Tamandua tetradactyla: one gene and its partner. The protein of the gene in region 2 purifies or fractionates together with the protein of the main gene of each other region. This does not show direct contact. Links are inferred from orthologs where the notes say so. Each region holds a gene or a part of one and is shown on either strand. Other genes may lie near its edges.

Region 1 (3,751 bases), on a different chromosome or scaffold from region 2:
TATTATTTAGCTCCATAGCTAGATGATAATGTGAAAGGAAACAAAAAAGTTATATTGTGGTACATTGCTTTGTAGCTGTAAAACAGCTGTTACTTCTCAATACAGAGGCGACTGCCTTTCAGGGAAGCTGAAATGAAATCAGTTTGTGGAACACTTTAAACAAAAAGGTGCTAGAAATCTCAGTTGTTATTGATGGGGAGCCCCAGAGGTGGAGAAGTCACTATATTACAGATTACCAATCTGTGAGTATTCCTAAAGGAGCAATCTGGCAACAGGATGAGTCTCAGCTTGTGGTGATTGCTTTGAGCCCCCAATTTAATTTCAATCACCCAGCCAAGAGACAGACATTGTCCTTCAGAATAACAGACCATTACTCTTACTGCAGGGTATCCTGGGAAAAGTCACCATCCTTTTTCTCCACCCCCTACAAATAACACTATTGACACACTATACATCAGTTATTTTAGATCAACAAGGGTATTAAATAATGTAAGATAAAGTAATGGAAGGTTGCTTGGGTTTTTTCAGGAAAGAACTTTAATGAAAAACATTCTCACAAACACGGCTAAATCTGGAGATTCCCAAGAAATCAACAATACGGGTTTTTTTCTGCTGCAAAGGAAAACCATTCCCAAAAGACATTCTCAATACTATAAGATTCCTTCACATGAAAATATTTCAGAACAATTCTTTTTCCCAAATGTCCAGTTTCTGCCTGGTAAAGGTAAACATATAAACATATGTTCCAAAAGCCTCTATACAATTGGCAGGTAGAAGAAATATCTTAAAACCAAATGTTTTTATGTGCAAATCAACTGCAGAAAGAGTAAACAGAACATCCTCAGGCCAAAACAAATGAAGACTAAAATAAGGGAAGAGATGAATTATTTTTTAGAAAATTATTATCAGTTCAGCATACCAAACTTTCCTGTTTTTCTTGTGAATTCTTCACTTTCTGAAGTCTTCCATTCTTCAAGGTCTAGTATAAATTTTACCAATTCATTAAAGCCCCACCTAACCATTTCAGTCCAAAATGATCTTTTTATTAACTATAATACTCATTTGGCAGATATAAAACACTGCCTCATATTGTTAATTAACCATGTTCAAAAAAATTAATGGATTTTTTAAATAGTTAAACAAAAACTTCACCACTCTAAACCACATGCACACCCCTTCCTAATCTTTGACCAATGTGCACTCATCTCACAGACTTGTAGTCATAGATTAAATATGACTTCGCTTTGCTTTTTCTCTAGTAAGTTCCAAAGAGTTAATGACCAATTATTTGCTTAACCACTCTCTTCTTTGTTCATTTAGGTAATTTCCAGTTTTTCAGTTCTTTCTGCCTGGAATCTCTTGCCATCACCTCCTTCAGGTCTTTATTCAAATCTCACTTTCTCGGTGAGGTCTTCCCTAACCATCTGATTTTAAATTGCAGCCTTTCACCCAAGACTTCCTTGCTTTATTTTGTTCCAAAGCATTTATCTCCACCCAACATCCAATATGTATTTAACTATCTATTTAGTTTATTTGTCTGTCCACGAGAGTTTAAGAAGGAATTTTTGTCTGTTCTGTTCATTGCTGAGCCCTGGTGCCTGCAACAGTATCTGACAGCTGGTAAAATGCTTAATAAATATTTGTTGAATGAATGAATTGAACAGCTCTGTGAATACTACTGTTCTTCAGGTGGCTGTATTCCTTAGAATAAATTTCCAAGGTTTGGATTACTACACCAGAGATAAAAACATGTTACGGCTTCTGATAAAATAATGCCAAAATATTTTCTAAAAAGGTTGTACTAATGTACCGTCCTCTCAACAAGGTATTAGCCTATCATATTCACCACAATCAATTATCTTTTTAGGAGCTATCATCTCACACAAAACACAAGCTTCATTAAGGCAAAATAAAGTTGTCTTGAACTTATTCTTTACCCTTAACAAATACCTGTTGAATGATTAAACTATAGGAAAGGCATTTTTGTCCAAACCCCTTCAATAACTCGAAAAGCTTATTTACCCTACACATTATAAAGAGAGAAAATGCCACTTCTTTTTTCTTTTTTTAAGGCTAATTAATTACCCACCCATCCCGTCTTTCTACATACCTCTCCACCTACGAATGAAATCCTGTAAAAAGGAATTTGCTATAAATGTACTGGAAACTCTAAAAATAGCCTGGAAAGTAAGGGTTCGTCCTTACTGAGGCTAAAAATTAGGATGAGAAGGGTAAGATGTCATTGCCTCGGCCAGCCTACCTAAGACACAGCCCAAAAGGGACAGGGCTAAGGCCCACCCTCATACCTCGAGACCATGCCCGCCTCTCATACACCAAGCCTTTTCCCTTCCACAAATGCCCTCCAAAAAAGGATAAGGGGTGTTACCCCACTCATTCCCAAACTTTGAATTTAAGTGAGAGCCACCTTTTTTGGCGGATCCTGCCCTGTTAAACACACCACTTCAAAAAGACACCCCGGCTTTCCACAAAACGCGGTGCCAAGAAAGAAAGCCCCACTATCCGAGCCCCAGACCTAGCCCCTTCGGCCTGCCTCCGCCCCAGGGAAAGCCCTAATGGAAGGGTTGTAGCTGCCGCCTTCCCTCCAACCCCCTGCAGTAGTCAAGGGTTACCATCTCGGACACTCTCCCTCCTATCACAAATCCAGCGTCAGACGTACCTCTTCTCCGTAGGCCCCAGTGCTCGCTTCGCCCGGGTCCACCGGGGCCTACCCGGGGCAGCCTTCCACTTCCCTACGCTCTGCAACCAACTGCAGAGCAGTAGCGCGCCGCCAGCTCGGGTTTGAAATCCCGCACCAACCAATCACAGAGCAATTTATTCTTCCCACGCTACTCCGTTACGCTAGGACGCACGCACTAGGGTCGCGTGGGGGTGAGACCGGACAGAACTGGGCATGTGCATTCTAGTAGACCGAAGCCACTCAATAGCCATTTTGATTAAGGTCAATGGTACTTTCTGTCGCCCTCTCCTGAAGTCACTCAGGACGCCATGTTGACTAAGGGCAAATGGTATTTCCGAGTGCAAAAAATTTTTGGCGTCGCAGTCTCTCCCAGACCGGGAAATAGGGATTTTTGGAAACTATCAAATGAACAGTATTGGATCTCGAGGTAGAATAGGAAAAATTCCAGGAGATAGAAAAGCGGTCATTTTCAACCGCAGTTACTGAACTGTTATTATCCCTTCATCGATTGATGCAGTCATTCAGGCTTTCATCTAACACATTTATTAAGTGGCAATTTTGTAACAAGTACTCTGCTAAGGATCGGAAAAATAAAGGTCTCTGCTTTATTTCAGTGGCTACGAATGGAGGAGACAGCTGGGGAAACAATACTAAATAACTTTCATTAGAACCTGGCATTGTGCTCCCGCAGACGCTCTCATGCTTTATCATTACTATTATTATTTTTAACTTCAACCCAGTGGGAAATATTTTTCATATTAAGCCAAGTATCACAGAAAACAGAAGGCGATGTACCCCTACTACTTGTAAAATACTTTGAATTTGTATATTCTCTTTTTTCCCCTCTGTTGGTAGTTCCTACTTCATTGCCTTTAATACTCAATAATGAATTGTTACCAGTAATTTGAAAACAATACTGTGCTAGGGCATACAAGAAGCACTGTGGGTTAATGAACAGGGCACAGGTTTAATAACCTGAAAATCTGTCTCCATTTGAACATCTACCTATTGAACACTGGGGTGGTGGCATACCACTGAAAAACTGCACTATCA
Region 2 (3,751 bases):
AAGGCTTTTCCTGGTATAACACTGAGAGACTTATAAATCAAGCTACGTTAAATTTTTTTCCAAGCTGTTAAAAAAAACAATATAAACAAATTAAAAACAAACCAAAATAAAATGTGAACCGGAAAAAATATTTGAACTCATATTTTGGATGAGAAGTAATTTCCACAATATATGAAGAGGTTCTATAAATAAATAAGAAAAACCAACAGCATTGTTAGTAGAACAATGGCACAAAGGACATAATGTCACAAAGAAGAAAACACAAATGACATACACATACAAATGAACACCAATCTCATTTATTATAATAGAAATGAAAATATAAACTATAATGTGATTCCCCCCACCTCCACCAATTAGGTTAATACCTATTAAAAATTTGATAACACTTTGTTGTGAGAGGTATGGAGAAACAGGCACTCATACAGACTCGTGGGAGTGTACATTTGGGCAAGCTTTATGGAGGACAATTGGGCACTAGCTATGAAATATTACGTAGCAAGTAATTTTGCTTCTAGGAATGTTTTTATACTTGCATTGTATAAATAATGTGTTCACAAGTTTATTCACTGTAGCTCATATTGTAATAGCAGCAACGGTAACCTTTCTACAATATGGGTCAAGGGTATGAAATTACGTCTAACCTTTCCATTCCCATGCTCCTGTAGAAAGTAGAGGAGAAGGGACTAAATTTCCATAAAAGTACAGACGTAGATGCATACTTAGTAGTCACTGGATTGGAGACCAAAGCCGAAAACATGAAATATATTCAATTCATCGAAAACTAGAACCTATTCCTTAAGGACAGTGACCAAATTTTATTTATCTCTCCCTGTCCGGATCAAACACAATTAAGGATTTGATAAAATAATGTAGACAGATGGGAAAGAGTGGTAGAACCCGGGAACGGGGAATCAGAAAGGACGCCAAGGTGCTGTGGTTACCTGGAAGCCAGAGAGGGACACTCTGAGTGTTGCTCACCTGTAAATCAACCCTGGAATTGCCCTTCCATTGGACTTCTTGTGATGTAGGAAAATAAACCTTCAGTTTCCTCATCGGAAGGAGTTGGATTTCATAATATCCGAGCTCTCCCCTCCAGTCTTCAGCTCCGACATCTAGACTATCAACCTCTCCGCGTCGGTCGCCCAGGAGACGAGCGCCACTTCCGGCAGACCAGTCACTTCCTCTGCGGCCACGCCCCGTCCCCGCTGGAGGGTGCTGATTGGTCCGTTTGAAATGCGCCGGGCGCGAGCCTACCTGGGCTCGCAGCGGCGCTGTCGGGCTTTACGGAGCGCTGCGCCTGAGCAGCGGTGTCTTTCCCGCGGTGCGGCCCAGCGGTTCAGCGGCCCAGCGGCCCGCAATCTGCTCCAGCCCCGCCAGATCGAGCCCGGCGTCCCGCGCGCGCGTTAAGGCAGCACGGAGTCTGCTGCCATGAAGCCAGCGTGAGTTGCCAGCTCCGGAGCAGGGAGGGCGGGAGGTCTGGGCGGGAGCCGCGGACCTGATTCTCCTCACGCCGTATGCGGGCCGTAGGGTCTGGACCAAGGCCTCGCGCTGCTCCGCCGCAGCCCCCAAAGTGAGAGCCTCCACGTGGGACTGCTCGGGATGAGGGCCGGGCAGGGAGACTTTCTCCGCGGTGTCCCGCAGACTCCCGCCACCCCTGAACCAGACGCCGCTGGCCCGGTCCGCACCGGGAAAGTCAGCCCGAAGTTGGGGGGTGGGTGGGTGGGTTATGTAGTGACCCTGGTTCCCGTTAGCAGTGTTGTCATGCGCCTGCCTCCGCCAGACCTTTCTCAGGTTCCCGTTTTCTCTCCACCACTGCATTTTGCAGGGTTAGTGCGAGTCGGGAGGCGACTGTCATCTGGATCTTCTCACGGGTTACACCGAGTGTTGGTTAGTTGCTCTCAGTCCCTGGAGAGCGCTGGCGTTATAGAGCTCTGCGTGCTTTTCGTAGTCTAGCTCTGTTGCATGAAGGCGGAGGCTAAAACCTTATTTGGGCTAGTCACTTTTGCCCTATTCTTAGGTCGTAGACGGACACCCGCCCACATTCCTCACTGAGTACCTGACATATTTTCGGAGGAGCTTAATTTCTTGATCACTTATTGCAGACAGAAGTACTTGATATGCAAAGAAGATGGTTGGCCTTATAATTATTCATAATTTTAGCTAGTCCTTTGTAGAGGCAATTTGTTTTATTAAGAGACCAAAGTCAAAATCTTAAAAAAGGTGAATTTAAGTAAGCCTACCACAATATTTTACCCTTTGAAAAGGCTAATTTCCTTCTGCTTCGTCTGGGAAATTTTTGAGAAGACTCTTCTAATAATCTACAGCCCAAGTCAGTAATTTCACTTAATTTTAAGGTTAATTTTCCATCTAGTCTATAGATAATGTAGGGGAAAAGTGGCATGCTAGAGAAATGGTGAAATACATGAAAATATCTTCTTCTGTTCACCTTACATCAAGAGAGGAAGAAATTTGCAATTTCGGACCACTCTTTTGGGGACAAAGGGTGGTAGTTTTGAGAATTCAGTGATTATTTCTTCCTTGAAAGTATGAACAGATTTTAATGAAAGAATGGATTCTTCTATCTGCACTTTAATAATTTATTGACGTTAACCACTTGTCAGTCTTCTGTGGCAAATGGTTGTTTGTGCCGTATGTGCTTGTGCACGTGTATAAATGCCTTTACAGATAAATATGGTCAGTTATCTGTAGATTTGTCAAATTTGTAGTACCTCTAAAATTGTTCAAGAAATTATGCAAGCTCTTTAATTAACCAAAGAGGAAGTAGGTATATTTGGTACCAAAATGTATTTGAAACCAAATTTTAATTACTTTTGGACTATATATACCACAAACATTCTTCTATACTGTTGCAATTTATTATTCATATTAAGAAATAATTTTATAAACCCTAGGAAGGTTGTCTTTGTATGAACTAAGCTGAGATTTCTGTATGTTGGTGCTGAATTGAAACATTTTCTATCTTTGACAGAAGGAATAAGACACCCAGGAAACCTTTAGTGAAGAAAGGATCCCAAACGAACCTTAAAGACCCAGTTGGGGTAAGGGTGCCCTAAGATTTGTGTATGTGCGTTCTTCGACCCAATTCTCTCATGGGAGGAATGGGAGAAAAGATGTGGAAGTGGAGTCAAAGAACATTTAGTTAGTTAAAAGGATTGTACTAAATTGCATAAGGCTAGTTCTAAGCTGTGAAGTTTTGTTTCTGTATGAGATTCATTAGTCCACTAAAATGAAATCTTCAGTTGTTGATCGCATGCTTCCTAAAACTAATTATAATCTGAAATATTAGATAATTTAAAATACTCTTCAACCTGGTTTGTACCCTCTGGAATGGGGGGAAACTTTCTGCTTGGATGATTGAGCGTCCTCTCCCATCTTAGGACTGCTTATAAGTATAGTTTGTAGCTTTCTTTATTAAATTTGCCATCAATTACTATAGCTCCAAACTCTGCTTCTTGGGGCCAATTATTATACAGATTCTGGTATATAATAGCTTTTTTCAGTCTAATGCCTACTCATAATTGCAGGTACTTCACTAATTTCAGGCTTGTGAGCTTGCTTTTAAAAGCAAATGTCAAATAGACAAGGGGCCTCTCTGAAGCAACTTTCACTGGCACTAGTCTGTGTCTCTGGGTCAGAGTTGAGGGAATCAGGTTCTTCGTACACAGCTGAACCAGGATTTCTTCCGTCCTGTCACTGATAAGGAGACCACAAATTTCAAAACTTGCAC

What was found.
Region 1: the proteins of KIF23 (region 2) and RACGAP1 purify together in Homo sapiens (co-immunoprecipitation; 10 studies listed by BioGRID and IntAct, counting the BioPlex papers as one, with this or other methods). This does not show direct contact. The link is inferred for Tamandua tetradactyla from reciprocal best matches to the Homo sapiens genes KIF23 and RACGAP1.

The regions. Positions count from the first base shown.
Region 1 is NC_135333.1:111,047,527-111,051,277, forward strand, and holds the start of RACGAP1 (rac GTPase-activating protein 1), read right to left. Parts: upstream 2,837-3,751; 5' UTR 2,678-2,836; intron 1-2,677.
Region 2 is NC_135338.1:73,118,574-73,122,324, reverse strand, and holds the start of KIF23 (kinesin-like protein KIF23), read left to right. Parts: upstream 1-1,282; 5' UTR 1,283-1,431; coding exon 1,432-1,442; intron 1,443-2,992; coding exon 2,993-3,062; intron 3,063-3,751.